2 linked regions of the Neodiprion lecontei genome follow. The protein of the gene in region 1 purifies or fractionates together with the protein of each later gene. This does not show direct contact. Links are inferred from orthologs where the notes say so. Each region holds a gene or a part of one and is shown on either strand. Other genes may lie near its edges. The genes, in order: pre-mRNA-splicing factor syf1 homolog and RNA helicase aquarius.

Evidence for each region.
Region 2: the proteins of pre-mRNA-splicing factor syf1 homolog (region 1) and RNA helicase aquarius fractionate together in Homo sapiens (co-fractionation; 3 studies listed by BioGRID and IntAct, with this or other methods). This does not show direct contact. The link is inferred for Neodiprion lecontei from reciprocal best matches to the Homo sapiens genes XAB2 and AQR.

The regions. Positions count from the first base shown.
Region 1 is NC_060264.1:23,212,364-23,224,318, reverse strand, and holds pre-mRNA-splicing factor syf1 homolog, read right to left. Parts: upstream 6,925-11,955; 5' UTR 6,783-6,924; intron 6,768-6,782; exon of another isoform or gene 6,695-6,767; 5' UTR 6,631-6,694; coding exon 6,589-6,630; intron 6,509-6,588; coding exon 6,360-6,508; intron 6,304-6,359; coding exon 5,982-6,303; intron 5,899-5,981; coding exon 5,599-5,898; intron 5,524-5,598; coding exon 5,376-5,523; intron 5,304-5,375; coding exon 5,152-5,303; intron 5,081-5,151; coding exon 4,860-5,080; intron 4,778-4,859; coding exon 4,615-4,777; intron 4,531-4,614; coding exon 4,417-4,530; intron 4,328-4,416; coding exon 4,165-4,327; intron 4,068-4,164; coding exon 3,958-4,067; intron 3,885-3,957; coding exon 3,681-3,884; intron 3,591-3,680; coding exon 3,356-3,590; intron 3,277-3,355; coding exon 3,121-3,276; intron 3,036-3,120; coding exon 2,956-3,035; 3' UTR 2,787-2,955; downstream 1-2,786. Other genes in the region: adenylate kinase isoenzyme 1, read left to right, coding at 8,263-8,451, 8,639-8,758, 8,846-9,031, 9,141-9,215; uncharacterized protein LOC107224118, read left to right, coding at 9,741-9,999, 10,077-10,181, 11,116-11,355, 11,457-11,716. UniProt on the Homo sapiens protein: Involved in pre-mRNA splicing as component of the spliceosome. Involved in transcription-coupled repair (TCR), transcription and pre-mRNA splicing.
Region 2 is NC_060266.1:124,406-134,558, forward strand, and holds the start of RNA helicase aquarius, read left to right. Parts: upstream 1-3,959; 5' UTR 3,960-4,108; coding exon 4,109-4,195; intron 4,196-4,470; coding exon 4,471-5,107; intron 5,108-5,580; coding exon 5,581-5,759; intron 5,760-6,010; exon of another isoform or gene 6,011-6,670; coding exon of another isoform or gene 6,671-7,317; intron 7,318-7,486; coding exon of another isoform or gene 7,487-8,282; exon of another isoform or gene 8,283-8,987; intron 8,988-9,215; exon of another isoform or gene 9,216-10,013; coding exon of another isoform or gene 10,014-10,153. Other genes in the region: uncharacterized protein LOC107223546, read right to left, coding at 120-495, 1,313-1,428, 1,601-1,783; probable G-protein coupled receptor Mth-like 5, read right to left, coding at 6,671-7,317, 7,487-8,282; G-protein coupled receptor Mth2, read right to left, coding at 10,014-10,153.

The sequences.
Region 1 (11,955 bases):
TTTTCAGCTGGTGCTTTTTCCATCGTTGTTTCTCTGCTGTTGGTCCTACGCACTTTTTGCTGCGTTTTCTGAGTTCCTGGTGGTCCAATCAGGCAGAAAAGGGTCATACAAATCGAATCCGAGACCAAAACTTTTCTCCCCAAAAAATAAGTAAGGCTAACCCCTTTGTATTTTGGGCGAAAATTTTCGTGATTTTGAAAAGTGCTGGAATAAATTCTTTCTGGCACTATTCCGACGTACTTTTGCGAGAGAAATCGATTGAGCGCAGTCCGAATAGGCAGCGATCAACGGATCAAAAGTTACAGCCTGAAAACAAGTTCCTGTGTTTTAGATATTTTTCAGCTGGTGCTCTTTCCATCGTTGTTTCTCTGCTGTTGGTCCTACGCACTTTTTGCTGCGTTTTCTGAGTTCCTGGTGGTCCAATCAGGCAGTAAAGTGTCATACAAATCGAATTTGAGACCAAAAATTTTTTCCCCAAAAAATAAGTAAGGCTAACCCCTTTGTATTTTTGGCGAAAATTTTCGTGATTTTGAAAACTGCCGGAATAAATTCTTTCTGGCACTATTCCGACGTACTTTTGCGAGAGAAATCGATTGAGTGCAGTCCGAATAGGCAGCGATCAACGGATCAAAAGTTACAGCCAGAAAACAAGTTCCTGTGTTTTAGATATTTTTCAGCTGGTGCTCTTTCCATCGTTGTTTCTCTGCTGTTGGTCCTACGCACTTCTTGCTGCGTTTTCTGAGTTCCTGGTGGTCCAATCAGGCAGTAAAGTGTCATACAAATCGAATTTGAGACCAAAAATTTTTTTCCCAAAAAATAAGTAAGGCTAACCCCTATGTATTTTTGGCAAAAATTTTCGTGATTTTGAAAACTGCTGAAATAAATTCTTTCTGGCACTATTCCGACGTAATTTTGGGAGAGAAATCGATAAAGCGCAGTACCAATACGTTGCGAGCAACGGGTCAAAAGTTACAGGCGAAAAACCAGAACCTGTGTTCTTCACATTTTTCAACTGGTGATCTTTTCGTCGTCATTTCCCGGCTGTCGGAGCGCTTATCTCTGAGGTCGAGTTTCACCAGGTAGCGGACCTGGAGCGCCGAAATTATGGAGCGCTAGTCCCGGAACTCGACGTGCACCAGGAAGCGGACTTGGAGCGCAGGATCCAGAAGGTAGAGAACCCGGTACCCGAAATCTGGGGAGCGCGATTTTCATACGTCCGCTCTACTGCGTGGTTGTTTCCAGACTGAGGAATTCGACTAGCTGATTACTGTAGATCGATGACGTCAAGAGAAGAAAAATTTCGGGAGACGTCACTTTCTGAAAATCCGATCATCCAAACTATGGTTTTGAACTTTAATACCATGTATGATGTATGATGTATGATGCATGATATGACGAGATGTATCATGATTTTAGTTCTCACATTACACACAAGAAATATGCACGTTATCTTTCCTGCCGATTCAAGCGACTAGGTCCTTCGATGGTCAGCCCTTGACTAAAGACATATATTCTTCATTTAACGGGTCTGCTAATAACGCTGCCGTTCTGCGACAGTTGGATGATACAAATTTGCTTGTACCTTTCAAATGTGTGTTAAAATACACTTGACGTTTTGAGAAGCTTCATTCTTTCTCTCCTTACCAAAAAAAAAAAATCGCCCACGCAAGCGCACGACGATTTTCGGTTGTCACACCAAAGCCCCTTAGGGCACGGCGTTAGGGTAACTGTCGTTATTTATTCATCAGTCACCGTAGGAGGTGTTTGGCGGTGGTTGAAGGTGATCGGCGGAGGTCGAGGAAGACGATAACGACGTGGCGGTCGATGGACGGCGAGGAGTAGGAGGACGGTGCCGAGGTGGACGAGGTGGACGAAAGTGGTCAGAGGTGGTTGGACGTGTTCGGAAATGGTAGGAGGTGGTAAGCGCTAGTCGGAGGTGGTAGGGGGCGCTAGAAGGTGGTCGGAGATCGCCGTCGGCCGCAGGGGATAGTAGGAGGTGTTCAGAATGGTAGGAGGAGGTAGGAGGTAGTAGGAGCTGGTTGGAGGTTGCAGGAGGTGGCAGGGGCGGTAGGTGCTAGTAGGAGGTGGCAGGGGGTGGTAGGAGGTGTTTGAAGGTGGCAGGCGGGGTTAGGCGGAGGTTGGAGAGGGCAGGAAGTGTTTGGCGGTAACTGGAGGTGATCGGCGGTCGACGAGGAAGACGTGGGTCGGGGGGTTGGGCGAGTACGAGCAGGAAGAGGGGGGGGGGGGGGGGGAGGACGAAGGTGGGTGGAGGTGGTTGACGGCGGTTGGAGGTGCTCGGTGGTATTTGGGGTGGTTGACGGTGGATGCGGTGGTCGTCGGAGGCGGTTGGCGGTGGACGCGGTTACGCGTCTCCTCACGGGGATCATCGAGCTGATGAACATTTCTAAGTCGCAGTCAACAGTCTTACGTACTCACTTTGTGCCGACTCAATCTCAAGCTTCCATACCGACACTACTTTAGTTGCTAGGAATGTCGGCGAGAGCCCGTTAGATAGAGTCGATAGAGCAAAACCCTTCTACGGTCCCAGGCCCACCCGGGCTCACTTGGCCGCCAAAAACTGGTCACAAAAATTTACCTAGGGGTAACAGTCTTTATATTCTTCAACGTAGTGGAATACAATCGATTTAAATTTTAGGATCCAAACCACTCAGGCAGTCCATTAGGGTGTTGAACGTAACTTGATCTGTAGGATTTCATTTTGATATTTTATTACGCATAAGTTTTTCCAAAATGCAAGGTTGATACAGAAACGGTAAGGCGGACAATACAGGCGCGAATCAGAATTTTATTTTCAATTCTCCACGTGCAAGGCAATGCTCGGAGCCAAACAGATGAACGACATGTACAATAGTTTACTTGTTTTTTTTTCCACTTCGAATCAAACCATAGTGGTGAATGCTCGTATGACAACAAATATGTCGTATTGAAAAATCTTTAGTCGTCCTCGTCCTCTTTGGTGGCCTTGAGGCTTCCAAAAACTTTCGATGGAATGGCTTGTTTCTCTACCGGTACATCTAGAAAAACGAGACACCATCAAACTGGGGATATTCGTGTAAGAGGAGTTTCGTTCCTAGTGAACAAGAAGATGTAATACTATACCCTCTTCAATTTCTTTCTCCTCATCTTCACTGTCGTCGTCCATGTCAATGTCTATTTCATCTGGATTGTTCACTTGACGTTCGGACTTTCCAGCTCCTTCAGTTACTCCTCGTACAAATTTGATATTATCTTTGAATCCGGGTTGCGCAGCAGCATCTGGAAGGAGGAACGATAATTAGACATGAGTCATTTTACAAATTTTTCTTTAGGTTCGTACACTTAACCAGAAACTGACCTGTACTGGTTGAGGGTATCTTGTTGTCCAAAAGTCGCATAGCGTCACCGGTGCCAGCACTGTCATCGATAGAGAGATTTGTCGCACTGTTAAGCATCTGTGCTGACATCATGTTTACTTGGGTGTTGTACATTGCTTGCACGCTTCTCTTGATTCGCAGCATTTCCCGCATCGTGTCCTCATTGCCGTGGCGGACTTCAAACTCTTTCCAAACTTGCCAGAAATTAGACGTTACCTAAGGAACAAGAACCACTGTGTTACTTATTTGCTGCTCGTACAGAGCATTGAGAAAGATAACTAAAATAAAGTTAAGCAATTCGCTAACCCGGGGATCGCATATTTGACTGCAGTGAGCGTAAATCGCCCTCGCTCGATCGACTTCACCGAGCTTAGTTTCCATCTCTGCAAACCGGAGACACATCTCCCGCGTATTTTCTTCATTCAGAACTTCGATCGCCTTTTCATAGATCTGCCGCGTCTTCGGCACTCCGTATATATCAGCGGCTTTCTTTATGTATATGTTGAACATCTAAAAGGAATGAAAAATTGAAAAAACTACGCCCAACAAACTTTTACCTATTCTTTCGAACACCGTTACCCACCTCAAATCTTTCTTCTGGTAAAACAGCGCTAGTCGCTCGCTCGTATACGGACATCGCGTGCCTTGCTAAGCCATGTTCCTCTTCCAGTTTCGCGTACAGCAAATAAAGAGCTTGATAAACAAAAAGAATTTAAATGTCGTTTAAAATCAAGACGGACAGGCTTTAGGTAAAATTTGGTATACCTATTCAATTTTAGAACAAACTTACCCTTCGCATACTTTGGTGGGCAATGTTCCAAGCATTGTTCAAACAGATCGCGAGTTCTTTCCAATTTCGTTCCCTCGTATCTTTTCAGGAATTTGGTGAGGTACGTGTTCCATATGTCATATACATTTGGCCACTTAAACAGAGCAATACCCTTTTCGTAGGCCTGAAAGAAAAAAGCGTAAACGTCGAATATTCCGCGATATGTAGATACAAGGTGTATTGCTACATGCTGAGAGAAAAAGAAATATCCACCCTGAAGGCTTCCTCGAAATAGTTATTCTCCTCCAAAAATAGACCATAGTTTATGATGATCTGCGGCGTCGCAATTTTGAGATCTATGATCTTGTCATACACAGCCTTGCACGTCTGAAAGACGAAAATTCATCTGTAATCAGCAACTCAATGTTGACCAGTTTTATTGACAATCAATAGATATATTACATGGTGTACCTTGAATGTACCAAAGCTCTCCTCGAGATCAGCGTACATGGACCAGACTTTAAGTGACTTGTACAATCTCATTTGAACGGTCTCAGTCTCGTCGTGATACGCAACTTTGCGTGAGGGCATGGTGGTTGCCTTGTGCATAAGCTTCAAGGCCTCTTTGCAATTGCTAATTACAAGAAAATGGAACACCATAATTACAGTAAATTCCTAAAATGGAATTGCAACTATTTGTAATGATCAATACTTACTCGTGCCTGATCTCCATTTCGGCCCACTCGCACCAAACGGAAGCAAGATCATCAACCTTCGTGTATGCGACGTGCGTCGCTTTATCGAAAACAACTCTGGCATCTGCGATCTGTCCATTCTCTTCATAGAATTTGGCAAACGCAACCCACAGTGTGTGCAACTTGCCAACTGCCTGTTGTGGCAACACCGTTTGAACAGCCTCTGTATACGTGTTGATTATCTGAGAAATTTCATCTGTTAGTGACTTGATCAACCAAGCAGAGATGTTGACGTTTCTTCGACTTTGGTTACCTCATGAGGTTGCCCCTCATAGAGCATGACTCGTTTGTGCCATTCTTGAACGTTGTGCGGATTTTGCCTAAGCAGCACACTGTTCAGCAACAACAGTCTTCTCTCCATGAGGTGTTCAAATCTTGCTAATCGAAGTTCGAGTTCAATGTCATCTATAAAATCATAGAAATTGTAGACAATAGATAATCTCACTTGGGTCAATGAGCCAAGTATTTAAGACTTACCTTCTTCGGTTGGATTGGGATTTTTGGCAGCATCCTCCATCCTCTTGCTGAGGCTGAGTTCCTCAAACTGGGCATACGCATCAAACACTTGGGTAAAGTCCCTGACAGTGGAAACTGTCTGGATTGCTTCTTCGTAGATATCTCTGGCCTATGGAAAAAACAACCTTTTGGTCCAAGTACAAAGATCTCGTTCACTGTTTTGCGAATTGTAAAAGATACTTACGCGCTCAAAAAGGCCACTACGAACGTAATAATCAGCCAATGAATTCCACAGTGGACCCAACTGATCAGTATATCGCCTCAATCCACCTCTGATTATTGCATCAACGTTCAAGGATTTTATTTTGGTAGGATTCTTTGATATAAGGTCGCAGAGCTCGTTCCACAGCTGGTGGTTCGATTTACCATGCTTTGACACAAAGTCGTCCTGGTTTACGATTTGGGCTAATTTGACCGCAGCTTCGTCCAGTCTTCCCGTCGATATCAAATACTCTATGTATTCCTCTGCATCTTCTGGAGCTAACTGCAACCATGTGACTTAATCCGTGTAGTATTTGAGTACCATTTCATGTTAGTATGAAAATAAATCGATCGGGGAGTACTCACCTTCAGATATCTCCTGAAGACGCGTACAGCTGTTTCATATACATTGTGTTTCTTGAGGAAGCCAATGTAAAGTGGCCAGACACGATGATGCTGCGTGATGGGAAGAGCCCGAAGCGAGCGATCGAATACCTGACGGGTCCTCGTGATGTAACACTGATCGGTCATCAGGGTGCAATAGTCCATCCAGATTCGAGGCATTTTGTGCATGAATACAAGTGCTCGTTCAAAAGCATTGTTTACATCCTCGTAGAGCGGGTCTGTCACGCAGCGTCCCTTCAGCTGTTTTACCCTCTGACGCAAGTAGTTATACCATAACTTGTAGCTATAAAATATTTTCATTTAGTGATCGTTCAAAGTATAGAGCAACTCTTTGCTCACCTTCCCGGCAGCTCCTTCAAGGCTCGTTCATAGACAATATTGAGGTTAACGCTCTTCGTGCTCTTCAAGTGATCAATGTAGCGTTGCCAGTGCTTAACAGAGTAAGGATTCCGCAGGATTTCCTCCTCGTAAGGCAGATCCTCCTCATTCTGCGAGAGATAACGAAGGTTGCTGATTTGTTTTTTGAGGTTAGGTTTAGTTACCGAAAATATTTAAAGGTTATACTCACGAAGATGTAACTATTCCCATCAGAATCCTCTCGCTGCATCATCTCTGCTCAAGTAATGACTAGACCCGGCTTTTATTCTCTTCAAATTAATAACAATGCGACATAACTGTAACACGTATAGCGTTGTATAGCACGACCTAACTTAGCAAGTAATACCGCGTCAAACAACCCGAAACTACCAAAATGATACAGACGCAGACGGAGCAGACGGGGAATCGTTGAGTTGTTTCCGAATCTATTGTGACCGTAAAGACACCAGAGGACGGCAGTCCTATCGTCGAATGTCAACCGTAGGAATTGGGATTGAACAGTTTCACCTTCCAAATTATATCTCGCTTGCAATGAAAGCAGCGAAAACCAACCTTCCGTGCTGTTTGTAAAATAATTCTAGTAGTAGAGGTAAACAAACACACTTTGAATACTTTCTCTTCCGTTTTATCATGGAATTACCAGCTACATCGTCTCTGCAATTAGATGCGGATTATACACGTACACTTCTACATGCACCCGACTATCGATTCCTCTCAGCTCCTCTTAAATTCATTTTTATATATTATTTTAAGACTTTAATTCGTCCATCACCAATAATTCACGCATTACTTAGTAAAAATGGCAATTAAACAAGTACAGACAGCAATTATGGAGTCAAAATGCGTCACCTTTGGTATTTTGATCGCTTAATTATTATACTCTTGCTGTAATATGCGTGTATACTTTACATGAACCATGCCTACTGTGAGGATGACTCATACAGTATAAACAAGGGTGCGTATTTCAAACTTATAGAATATGGATAAAAGCTGCTTTCCTCTTCTGCAAGCCTCTTTATCGTATATCGAAGAAAACTGATGCATTCTGGCATTATGACACCAGTTTGCAAGAACGAATAGGTATAATAGAACAGCGAAGAGATGTTAAAAGCTCGTCAAAACCTTGAACGCGCGTCTATAACGCACTTATTTATAAACGCAGCTTTGCGTAACGCGCGCGCTGTATGATATTGTCTAGCGCGGGAGGGCAATAATTATATGTATATCCGCGTGTAAGAACTTGCACAATTATTTAAACCACGATCTCGCCACCGCTGCCGCCGACATACGTTTATTCTGGTGGAGCATCCTTCCGCTGCTGCTGTTCATCTCGTTTTTTCTCGTCGCCGACTATCGGGACAAGGCTTCTAATCTGCTGATCGCGAACACGAAGATCAACCACGCTCAGGTAAGGTGCAACAATCGAGGTACGTCGGTTAGTTGCGTTCGAATTTGCACCTGCGTAACGCGAGGTCTCGCGCCGATTTGGGCACAGAATGATAATCATCAGCTTGTAAGCCGGAATAATCATGCCTCGCAACGGTGCTCTGTAATTTTTAATGTAATTGCTCGAACACAATTTGTTCAGTTACATAACTTGACCGGCCTCGGGATTTTTCAATAAATTAAGAACACGCGTGCGATCGTCGAACGTATAAATTCATGCGAAAGCGAATCATCTAACAGCCGGAATTGGACGGATGCCAGTAGATCGTATAATTCAAAAATAAAATTCTCCTAGCTGTGCGAGTTATCAGCTCTACTCTTATACCGCTCGTGGTTCAGAAACCCACGACTACTGACCCAGCTGTTGGTTTTTTAGGCGCCGAACCAGGAATCACACGTTAGCAAAAAATCGAGAAGGATGACTGTTACACTGTGGGTCGTCGGCGGTCCCGGATGCGGGAAGGGCACCCAGTGCGAGAAAATCGTTGCAAAGTACGGCTTCCTTCATCTCAGCAGCGGTGATCTTCTTCGGGACGAAGTCGCCAGTGGCAGTCCAAGGGGCGCCCAACTCCAAGAGCTCATGTCCCAAGGCCTCTTTGTACCATCCGTAAGTTGCGGGACATTTGGCCCGAATTCCTAAAGAGTTCTCTTTCGTCTTCTCGTCTGTCTTCGGACAACATCAAATCAAATTAGCGCGTTCTAGTTGCAATATGAAACGTTGCATATGAAGTCAAAAATATGTCTTTAAAAAAAAGGTATTCAATGGTTTATTTTGTTAATCACCAATTATACAGGACGTCGTCCTCGGACTGATCAAAGAGAAGATAAACAAGGGAAAGGAGGACAAGGTCCCGGGGTTCCTGATCGACGGATACCCACGGGAACTTAGCCAAGGGCTTGAATTTGAGAAAGAAGTAAGAATTTTGCTTTCCATAATATTTTCCAGTTGACCAAACGCATCCGCGACGCATATACTCAATCCTCTAATTATTCCATCGTAGATCGGGCCGGTGGACCTAGTGCTCTTCTTCGACGTGGCGAACGAGACTTTGACAAAGAGGTTACTGGGTCGTGCGGCCTCGTCGGGAAGAGTCGACGATAATGAGGAGACAATCAAGAAACGCATAGCAGTATTCAACGAGAAGAACGGGCCGATCGTCGAGCATTACAAGGACAAGGTTGTCAAGGTACGTATGTACATATGTACAATGCATGTGACCATTGGAGTTTCATAGCTGCAATAAATTCTTACACCGATATTTAACTGTAATGATTTATCGTTACATTTTCTGCTAGATAAATGCCGAGGGCGCGGTCGAGGACATCTTCGCCGAAGCGAGCAAAGCCATCGATGCCGTGAACAAGGTTTAAAATCCGCAAAAGTTCCCTAATTTTCCCCTTCATCATCTCATAGACATAATATAGGATTTTATAGCAAATTATTTATTCACGTATTTTTCGTAATATCACGAAACTAGTTCACGCACAATTACACCCCAATGACGAATAAAGATATTGATTAGTTGAAAATTTCAATTGTTGTTCATTAAAATCCATAAAAATCAATATTAATCATAGACGTCGGTTGCCCAATTTTCAAGGACACTGGGCAGCGTCACTAAAGTTTGACATCCCGACCCGATGATAATGAACACGAGTCTGTCATTATCAGGTGACATTGTCTACCGTTCAATGTCCACAGCCAGGATGTGCAGCCATTTAATTACGCATCCACATGACAATGACGAGTAAATTGAACACTGCATTGTCTGCGACCGTAGTTGCGTATCCGCAACCGCTAATGTCGTGAAAAATCAGCGTCAACTGTAAATATATCAAGGGTCGAGTATAACGAAACGATTCAGGCAAATTTAGTTGCTATAATTTGAGTCAGGCATGGTGCTCTGGATGGTCCTGGTGCTCGTCGTCGCGAGCCGGGTGAGCTGGACTCCGGCGAATGCTCAGTGCTCGCAGATTTCATTTCGCAAAGACCCGGTTTACGCCTTGACGAAACGATGTACGCGGTCGACCGCAACACCGATATCGAGACGTAATTTAGAGGACCTGAAAAGCTGCAAAGAATTTGCCGTTTCTAAAAAGGCTTTGGCGTTCAACTTTCGTCCGAAGAAATATGCCTCAAACATCACGATCAGCGGTCAGCTAATATAATAATTCTGCCTGAATTAAATTACACCGCGGCTGTTCAATTCGTATATCATTTATAATCATCAGATAATTGCATCGCTTTGGAATGCCCGATGGAACTGCATCCTCAATCGACCAGTTTTGTCAAGGATTCGAGATTCGAATACTATAGCGCGTACGGCGGCAACGTGGGTGAGAATAACATTGCAGATGAATAAAGGGCTTCATCAAGGCATTCTACGCCAATTCAATCAACGCTTACCTTGATCAAAATTTCTACTGCTACAGATTTTTACAGAAATTGGAACATTTCGTATTATTTCGTACAAAACTGTAAGTATGCGTAGTTTATCGGAAAGAATTTTTAATTTTCTTTAAAAATTGTAGTAGCTTGTGGATTCTTTACTGAAAAAATACACATTTTCAGAAAATCTACAAGTTTTTATGAAAAACTGCATGTTTACAATTTTGTACGAAAACAATTTTTTGTGCGAAATTGTCCAAAATGTCCCAATTTCCCTAAAAAATCGCAGAAAATCGTAGAAATCATTTTCACCAGGGTGACCCTTACCTAATTATCTAATAATATTCTCCAGATGAAATGAATTCTTAGCATTTCTTGCAATTTTGTACATTTCGAATAATTTTATTGAAACAAATTTTGGAAAAAAGAAATAAGTTTGAAAAATAACATGTAGTCAATATATTAAGGACTTCATGTAGTCAAAACTAGCAGATAAAAAGTCTATAATGAATTGTTGGGTATTTCCTTTATACCAAGAAATGCAATAAAAAATCAAATCGGTTAGGAAGCAGAGATTGCAGGTTGATTTGGCATGGAACGCCACATTTGCGCTTATGAAAACATGCTGCAGGGTTAAGTCCACCAATTATCAAATACCCAATTCAGATTCGTCGTTATATATAATGACTTGAAAGAAATATATACTCGAGCATCTCACAGGAAACTAAAGCGAAATCAAAATTAAGATCTTTACAAGTACCAGTAAAAATTGGTGAACTCACAACTATTGCTAGTTCCACCTGACAAATAAACTAAAATGAAAGACCAGAATAGTGCGATTCGGTGCCCCTCAACTGCCTGTATGTTGCAAACTGGGAATAGCATATGGACATGGAATAAAAGCAAGCTGCCTACCAACATTAGGAGTGTTCAGGCTCGCAGATACCCCATCAAACTACAGCACAGCTCGCGAGAAGTGCGCAGCTTGGGGTGGAAAATTGGCGCATGTGGTCAGTGCTGTTCGCACAGATCTCCTAGCTACGTTGATGACCGGGAACATCAGCACAGCGTTTGTAGGACTCAGCAGTCAAGGCAAAGAGCGGCTCTGGAAGAACGAGTTTGGTATAATAATATTGCAATGATCGATATACTCGACTGGATATAAGGTTGAAGAAATAAATAAAAAAAAAGGGTCGCTCAGTCTTGAAAAGAAATCTCTGCAGATGAGCTTCTGGACTGCTTCGATTTTCGGGGATGGGCACAGCGGGAGCCACACTCGAAACGAGGATGTGTTGCTCTGGGCAAGGACCGAGCGTGGAGAGTGGTATCGTGCTATGCCTCTTTGCCATCCCTCTGCGAAATACTGCCCTCAGCTTCACCGCAGAAATTGTCACCATCTATAGCCTGCGGCAGTCTCTCAGGTACAGGGAGTATGAGAAAGCAAGTCGGTCAGTCTGCAAGGAATGATACAGCCCACAAGTAATTATACTATATTAATTGGGTTTATTCAACAATGATATAATGTCATAAGTTAATTTTATATATTTATATTTTAAAGTTCAATAAATCGTAGTGCTTCTATGCTCACCTAAATCGATATTACTTTTCGCTATGTTTTACAATCTATCGATTTTTTTTTTTTAGTTTCTTTAATTACAACAATTTCCAAGAGAAATTCGTTTCAATTCATATACTAATTACAATTTTTTTAAATTTAATATC
Region 2 (10,153 bases), on another chromosome or scaffold:
TGCAGGACAAACTCTTACCTGTCTTGTTTTCACAGTGTACGGAAATCGGTATAATGTTCGCGTACACAAATGTATACCACGGTGAAAAAGATGCGGGTGTACAAACGTAAAGCGACGTGTTATAGGATAGATATGTCGGAACACGTTCTGAAGGTCTCCTGGGGTCCGCAACCAAGAGATCCGGTCTGCCCGAATCCGTCGTCGGTAGAACACAATCCCCAGTTGTTGCCCGTCCTCCAGTGCCATCTCAGCACGCAGTGTTCGCAAACTAATGAGTCTGGTAACTTGACGGTTGCCGTGTAGCTGCCGGTAGCCGAGGTGGCGAGGGTGTAGTCGTAAGAACCTTCGTCCAAAATGAGAGGATACATCTCGAAACAATCTTCCGTCTCAATTACTTCAGGACCATCCTCGAGTGGGCAAATATTGAAATTAAAATAGCCTCTGTGATTTGCAGTTATCATCACGGTCAAGTTCACCCATGATCCTTGCTCGTAGCTGTGGTCGGATAATAACATTATAGAAACACATGACTAAAATTAAAACAATGCGTGGCATAAAATGCAGTTGTTCCCTAAATACGCTAGAACACGTTAGTTAGTTTATGTCACGTGAACATATTATAATCGCCGGGTCAGTTTGCTCGAAAGTAATTTTAATATACCGACAGGGTCATTTGTAATCCGCCGAATACTTGACTCGTGAGCAACAATTAGAACCGCTTGTGCGGGTATCGGCATATGTATCGTGTAAAATCGCGGGCGGCGCGGCGACGTTATTCGCACTCGATTTCAACAACCGATAGAAATTATCCCGTATGAACAGGTATATGTATATATTGTAATATACGTATATGCGTATAAGGAATGCGTGGACAGACATCACCTTTCCGTTTACTCATTTTCTGCAGTCTGTTATTTCTTAGGCTTGCTTGTACAATCTATACGTACCTATATCAAACGTGTCATTGGTACGTTATACTGTTGATAATCGCAGATAGTGGAAATCAGTGTTACCCGTAAAGATAACGGCTGTCGATCATATCTTACCTTTTAATTTTGATCGTCCAATGATTCTACGTATATCCGTATCTGAATACTTTCTGTTCTTAATATTCATTTCAGCTTTTTGCATGAATTGACTTATTCTCAACCGTCAGACGTTCGGATATAAAAAAATATGCACCTATATCGGTGTGACGGGACACGACCCCGCACCTTACAGACTATTGCTGTGCAAACTTTACTTTTGTAGTATTCCTTCGTTAGTCGGCATCAGCAGCTATAACAAGAATAAGAATAATAATTAAACTCACGTGGCAACAATAATTCCATTTCCATAAGTCCCTGTATTTTCGTTCGGTCGCGGCTGCTTCAGTGCATAATCGTCTCCGCATATCCCGCATTGACCGCTGTTCTCGCTCCATTGTTTCTAAGAAATTCAACAAAACGACGTATAACCGATCTACCGAAACTTCTTTCATATGAAGGACATAACAGATATTATCATATTGTGCGCTAATTCTACAACCGAAGTGCAGCGAACTCTGGTAACGCAGGACAATTGGTGAAATATAACCATTGGTGATTGGTGAAAGACCTACCGCGTATCCTCCGCAAAAGTTTTCGTTGTCATTGTAGTTTATCGGAGTCGAGTATCCCTTTCGCCACATGCTACTCCTATTCACTGGATCAACAAGCATACCATGCCCGAAAATCCCTCCTACGAGGTGCAGTATTATCAGCCACGACGATGCGACAGTCTGGTGCAGAGCAGTGCCGCGCATCTCGTCGGTACGATTTATTACGTGTTATTATAATATCCCGTGCGATTTCAACGATAATTTGTTGATGCTGCAGGCGTAACGCCGAATATTCACCGTTTACGCTATGGGGTATAAATCACGAATATATCACCAGCGGTCCTCAACTCGCGAAAATCAAATTACGTTAAGTCTACTTCGCTCCACGCATCGCCTTTTATAGAACCCGTGTGTTTGTCGCAGTTCGAGCGATAAGGGACATTATACCTAGTGTTTTAAGTGTCATGCGTGTCTTGATATAAATATGACTGTATCCGGTAGGTATACGATGTAGCTGCGTGACGCGCTATGTAGACCACACCCTCCCTGATGATGAGGGTATCGCAGGAGGGTTACTTGTGCGATATCAATTTATATACTGACTTATACCTGCTGATGCTCGACAATGCGAGAAAAACTTGGCGGTGGCAAACGACCCTGTGTATACTTGGCCAGATTACCAATATAGTGCTCATCGCATCGATGTAGGTCCGAATTGTATCCAACGATCAGCATTGCAGGATTGTACGTGGCTTTCGATAAATGTCAAGCCTTGTCGGTTACTGGTATAAAATGAGGGTGACACCAGTCGATCACGTTTTCCGAATACCGCATTGAGGTCAATTTTCACAATTCTTATTGGTTATCTTTCCAATTCCGACAAAGCTAATGTATTACAAGCGAATACTCCTTATACTCGCTGCATTCACAGGCTCACTTATTGAACCCGTTTATGCGGGCCTCGTGTAAAATCGGCTGCGTCAGTCGCAGTCGTAGCTAGTATTCAATAATTGAGCCTCGCATGGATGTTCATTGTGTACCTATACAATAGTCTTTCCCTATACTCATATAAAACGCGCCACGCAGAAAAACAAATTTGTCACATAAGCCTCGAGTTTGTTATTGTCCGCTACAATCGTGTAACGTGTATAGGTAAGTATTGCGACAGCGACAGTAGCGTATGTAACTTAAGTAACATATAAATTGATACTAACAAAATTTCCCACCACTTATCATAAAATCGTGGCAAGTATAATCACCATGTGCAATCCTGGTAGCGATGCGATTGTTCCTGCTGTAACCATTTAGTATAGAAACGTCATGCATATTTGCATTGGAATCGTTACGTTATATATGTATATTCCAGTGATATAATTTCTACGCCCTGCGCCAATTTACTTCCAACTAACCGATAATGATCTTTCTCGCACATTTTTCGGAAGACTACATGGTCTTTCGTAGAAACTGTGTTAACAACAACAACACAACAGTTGATAAATGTGTCAGGTGAAATTAAATCGTATAATGTACGACCGTCCAGTTGTAGTTTCATCATCGAGCGCTGTAGAAGTGACAGGAAAAAAAATCATTGATACCATTACCACGTTTTTCAATCGACGGCAAAACCGAGATTGCTATTGATACTGCAATTTCTTAGCATCTCTACATATGCCGTGAATCTATCTTAAAGTGTGCTGCTCACACTCGCGTTGAAGGTCACTCACGCAGCGGCGACTATCATCTCTACAACTTGTGTGATAACGGTCTGCTGGAAAGAGAAGAAAAAAAAATAAATAATGAAATATAACTGACATTGGACGCGAGATGTCGAGGAGGGGAATCATTTAATATTTTTTAACACTACCGTGGGTTCATTTTATGTGTAGCGATGATAGTAATAAACTTACTATCCAGCTCAGTATGCATAGCGAATTTAAAATGTCTTTTCATTTATGTTGCAGAACAAGTCAACAACTGACCTGATTTCGATGCTCATTGTCGCCACTTACTCCTTCGCCCCTTTAAGCCAGCTGTTCATGCATTATTTCCGTTCCCATATTTCGTGATTCGGTCGCTCGCGCTCATCTGATCGGAAATTGCATATTTTCTGATGGCTTGTAAAACAAACTGAGTATTTCAACTGAGGAAATGTTTCTACCCACCATTATGTCATGTGGTTCCGAAACTAGCCGACGGCGCGCCAACAATCCCCTAGAACTGAGGCGGAGTTACCCACGAACTCGGTAGTGCAAAAGAGATAAACTATAGTTGACAGCACTGTTAGCTAATTTCGGAACGCATCCGTGAGTCCATTCGTGGTGCATGGATATTCCGTGACATCACCTCCCTTGGCAGACCGTGTTTATGGCGTAGACAACAATTGTCTAATAAACCACAATCACAACCGGCGTCAACGTCTGACGATTTCATCCGTTCAATCACGGTCGTTGGTTGATCACAGGGACGAAGTTTGTCTTGTAGGAGTTTAATTTCCTACTCTTACAGCGTTGAAATACTTCATATCTGAAAATGGAAAATCCAGCAGTTTCACTCCTCGTTAAAACTAATAATCCTGCGCCCACGGTCGATCAAATAAATGCCGACAGAATAACACAGGTAGCATAATTGTATCGTATTTTCATGAATTATACACATGCTCGTCTTGTTTTTCATACTCTACCTCGTCGCCATAACAGAGAACGTAACCGAGGTGAATTATACATTACATAAATCATGCGCATGTAATGATACATGCCTGTGCGGTAGCGGCGAGGAGGTTATGTTGACCGGTTGTTTTGAATGCAGATATTAATTCATACGATTTCATTGGGCGGTTACAAAATATGCACTTACATATCAAGTATTCACCTGTATACGTTTCCATTTTCCAGTTGGCCAACAAATATTGGGCACCTCACACAACCAACTCACACCTCCAGTTTGATCCGGTAATCATCGAAGATATATACATACAAGAGATATGTGCTTCAAAGTTTTCAATCAGGCGCATAATGATGCTCGAATTCAGCCAATACCTGGAAAATTATCTTTGGCCAAATTATAGTACAGGAGAAACGTCACACAGTCACATGATGTCGATAGTTGTAATGCTGAACGAAAAATTTCGAGAGAGAGTCCAAGTCTGGGAAGCTTTTTCGAAGAATCCTCAACATTTTCCTGGATTTTTTCAGCAAGTTCTGGAAGCTTGTTTGAACGAGAGTACAATGGATTTTGATCTTAAAGAACAGACGGCGCTTATTGTTTTTTTGAATCATTGTTTCAATTCTATGGAAGTAGCGTTAGTGAGAAATGAAGTTAAGAGGTTGGTGTCATTGTCAATGTGGGTATCACTGCAACAGGGCAGACGTGAGTTTGAGTTTAGAAAGTTTCCCAAGTGGAGAAAATATTGGAAAATTATACAAAAGAAAGATAAGCCAGAGATCAGACAGAAGTTGGACTGGGAGCGGAGATTCCTACAGAGATTGATGGTCAAATTTATGACTATCCTGGAAACTGTACCACTCGAGGGTGAGTCTTTCTATGAGAGAGTTTTTATTCAACGGTTGAGGAGATCAGTATCGTATCTCAGAATTTTATTGGGGAACATTGCAATTCTGGAATGTAATTGCGATTATACGGTAATTGTTTGAAATTTGGATTTGCAACCTTTAATTCTTCAAAGTCCATTTAAAGATGTAAAATGCTGATTTACTATTCCATGTTTTGTTACATTACCGTTACTGATTTTAATCCAATCTCTTCCTTACGATTGGGATGTTGATGGCATCCTTTTCTGTTTATTTTTTTTTTTTTACTGTCATTTATAATTACAACAATTTAACTGGAAATATCGTTTCTCAAACCTTGTGCGTGTTTATACCAAGTTGCCTCATAAACCCAATTTGATTGAAATTATTTTGGTCATTTAATGGGCAAGATCTTTTTTAATTACTATATTTCAGCTGATATACTTACATCGTGCCCTTTTTGCCACATTTCAGGAGCAATTTTTCCCGACAAGATACATTATTGCGAAAGGTTCTTGGAGTTGGTTATCGACTTGGAAGCTCTTCTGCCTACCAGACGTTTCTTCAACACAGTCATGGATGACAGTCATTTGGTAGTACGGTGTCAACTCTCCAACTTGGTGCAACGCCCAGAGGGAGGTCTTTTCAACCAGGTGAGTAATCTTATTCAATTTTCTCCTGTATTACCGTCAGGATGTCGTGTGTGAAAAAGCAACAAACACGGGCAATAACTTAATTGTAACAATGCTCGCACATGTTACACCTGGTATATGCTTTGCACTTTCTAGACACAAATGATTTGGTTGGTACGGTATTCCCTAAAAATAATAATCAATACTTGCTTCTTGGATTAGTCGACTACTACACGACACAAGACGTATGTACAAATACACTTTGACTTCGGTTTGCAGATTAAAAAAATTTTATTCATGTCAATTAATAGATTTAGGTATAAAGATTTGAGATCGCTGCACTAAACAAGTGAGAGCCTTAAAGTGCGTTAGTGTTCTGTAAATATTATCATTAAATATTTCAAAACAAAGGCACTGTGCAAGGTACAGAGTTACTCTTCAATCGATGAGCTTAATCCTAATACTAATTGAGAAATTCCGTTTACTTAAAAATAGATATGCTTCCTCGAAGTTGGAGTTAATTTTTTACAAAACCAGATGACGGGCTAATATATTTTATAATTTGTTTCATCAGTCTCGTGCGACGACTCAAACAGCAAAATGTATAATTAGTTAAGTACTTAGATATGGTGCGATTGCGTCAAAGGATTTGATTATACGATCGAGCTAATTGTAGGAATTGATTGAGATTTATAAAAGTAGTACCCTTGGTGCTGAAATTTGCATCCTTCAAAATGATTGGATAATTTATGTGGATAATCGGCTGTTGCCGACGAAATGTTAAAATCTCTGGATTTGCATTAGTATGGTTGAATGGTAAATACTTGTCAAGTCATGGGAAAAATAGATTCAATTGTGGAATGTAGGTTTCACAAACTCGTTGACAATGAAATTATTAGTCAGCAGTAGGGACTCGGCAATGTGCGACACAGTTATCCCAGATTAATAGCTGTCATTTCTTCACCCCAATCGAGGCCCTGAGCAGTGTCACCTGGGCTGCAACAGTTGCAAGTTTTTCTCAACAAGAAGGTGACTCTTCTTTGACCGAACACGCATACATATAGAATTAGAATGGCTTGTAACAAATTTATGACAATGGAACAGTATTCCAACTCTGATCTCATCCAGGAAAGTAGGGTAAATGACCAGGCAACCCCCATAATAATAAATAGAAATACAAACATTCTGAAACTATACTTCATTTTATGGTGAATTCTGCCATACGTGTTCATTCGTTTCATGAAATTTGTGGTCGTCGCAACGAACCATACATTAAAAATGACACTAAATGCAACGGGCGTAAAAAGAACTGCTACAGCCAGCCACCCTATGGTTTCCTGGGGGGCGTCCGGCACGTCGACTATCATTGGTTTGTTGGTGTCCAACTTGAAGTGTGAGAAAATCGCCATTGTTCCTATAACTGTGGTTAGGGACCACACATAGAGAGAGTAGTAACAGTACTTTTTTCCATCGGTCGAGCGGAGGAAAATGTTGCGTGATCTAAAAGTCTTCCATATATAGTAGCCCAAACTGCTTAACCAGAAGAACGCCGACATCAGTGACACATACATAACTACATCTGAAAGCAATAGAGTTGTTAAGTACCCTGCCACACCTATGTTTACTCAAACTATTGTAAATACGAAAGCTGGCAGACCAATACTATAGTGGCTAATACTACTAACCATTTAATTTTAATTTAATATTCATATCATACTCAGCGGATAGTACATTACTGCTGAACATACCTGCGACCAAAAAGTTCACATGACTGCCAAACTCGGGGAAAATTCTGACCATTGCCGCGCAATGATTCGCCACAAGGCATAGCATCAGACTTGTTACGATATTTCCAATCAAGTTCTTCAATTGCGGTAAGACAAAGTATACGATCGCAACGACAAGATAGCAGGCAATGGATATGGCTCGAAACGACGGATCTATAACTCGCCGCATCATGACGTCTGTATGCATGACGTGTTTCTTTATCGGCAAACACACACGTGCATAGAATGTTGTCATGTTTTCTTTGCGTAATATTGTCTTGTCAGCGCAGTAGGTTCCAAATTCATAGTCGTAGTATCTCTTGTTTTTGGCATTGTTCCGTTCACCTTCCACCAGCTCATCAGCAGTCGAGTCCGTATTGTCAAGGTTACACTGGGTGCAATGTCGCAGCTTACCAGACGAGAGGATTCTCAGTAAATCCATGTTGGGAGGGTTCGGCACGTCGTATATCTTCCACTGTCTTTCATCATTTTTACACTTTGGTAGTCCAAATTTTAATTCAAATTTTGGCTGGTCTGTTAAACCGTGTCCATCCTCGTCGGTAAATATCGGCTTCCACGGTCCTGCTCCGTGTGTGGCTTCTTTTATCGGTGTACATCGATCATCGACAATCAGTTCGTTGGATTTGCAGCACTTTCCAATTTTTATGGTAGCGACGCTACCTTCATCCGAGGATGATGCCGAGGATCCTTGATACATGGCCAAGCCAACTGTGATACGAACTATTATTAGTGTTACATGCATGACCATAATGTGCATTTCATTCAATTATATTGAATTTCAGTATCACGCGAGCCGCGGCTCCCGCTGTCGGCGCGGCTTTTTTATTCTCCTTATATCACTCGGACTTGACAGTTGTACGATTTATCGGTATTTCGTTATACCGGCCCGGATTTCTTACAGAACGTAGAACGATCACCCGTGTCGTATCCGGTTCGGTCACTCATGTCTATTCCCCGAATATGTATCCGAAAATAGCAGTCACATAAATTCGGCCATTTGATCAGATTTGTTTACCTTCGCGTTCTTTTCCACCCTTATTCGAATGTACGAAAACCCTCTGCTTTTTCGCCCACCTCTTGGCCAATAATTCCCATTTGCATGTCTCAACAGAAATGTATATTGCAGAAATGCCAAGACTAGGTTAGGTTACGTTGAGCTAGGCAAGGCCAGGCTCCTTGGGCTAGGCTAGGGTAGGCAAAGCTTGTTCAAGTTAAGTTAGGGTTGAATTAAGGTTGAACCCAGTGCTGCCAGACTCAAATAGCGGAATATACCCGTACCGTTTATAAAATCACCGATTTTACCCGCGCGCAAATTCAAAATACATGTAAACAAACAGCGCAATATAATCGCTGTAATTCGTAGCAAGAAGTAGTTATGAAGTTGATTGTTCGCGAGTTTATCGAGCTGAAAAATTCAAGATTCTGACTGAAATAAACCAATGCGAGCCGAAATTTACGCTGCGTCGCCTGTCGGAAAGCTATGCTTTTGTATTTATTTTTGGATTGTTTTCATCCTCTACAGCAATTAGTGTATCAACACAACTGTCATTCTCACGGACAGTTCAGCAAGTAGTTATCGGGTAATAAACCGACATTTCATGCTCAATTTCGGACGAAAGCTGTATATTTTTGCACATGATATTGAAATTTGCCTTTACAGTTTGAAAAAAATTTGACTACAACTCGAAACTAGATGTAATGAATAATAGTTTATTACATTCTCTTAGAGATTGCAGATAACGTATATAATTGTAGTAAGTAATTGCCCGGCTATTCATGTGTCACCCGCGCCGGCGTAGTTTTATCTCATCGTAAGCGTCGCCACTTCCCTTTTACACTTGTAATTATTCGCATCTGTTACATCTAATATTTAATACATATTTACTGTACAGATAATATAAGGTATTTGCATTATGCATTCAGAGTAAGCTCTGTACGCAATTGCGTAAATCTATGGCACCCTATAAAGATTAACGTATATTACGTGTGCACCTAATTTAACAGATATCGCGTCAGTAATTTTTGTCGATTGTCTTCCAGAATAATCGCGTACGTTCCGCAGGTGTGTAAAAACATGTGTACATTCTCGAGACTGGTCATTTTTGTTGTATGGAAAGGTCGATTGTGATAACTGATCCTTGATCGGCATCACAAATTGAATTACGGTTGCGCACACACACACACGCGCGCGCGCGCGACACGACGCGGAGTGAACCGATCAAGTACGTTACAAACAGCCCCAAGAGAAGCTAGACAATGTTGAAAACCGTGCAAGGACAGTGGGTCGTTCCCAATTACCTTTAAGACGCGATCTACTCCGTACGATATGAATAGGCAGGTAATTAAGCGAATCTATCATACCTAATTACGCGAATTGGTACATCGGCGTGTGTGTGCGCGCGTGCGTGTCGTGTCGTTGGGACGTTTGTAAGAATGTACGACGTCGTCACGGTAGGTACACTCTGGGTCACGATTCTCGCAGTAACGGCTAACCCGTTTGCGAGAGCTCCTGCTCCTGCTCGTCGTCCTCGAGAATCACTTCGGATTCCTCGTCCTCGCCGGCGGCCCATCTCTTTGGAAAGTTAATGCCGAACGGTTTCTTTTTTGCCAGTAGTTTTCGTACGCGTT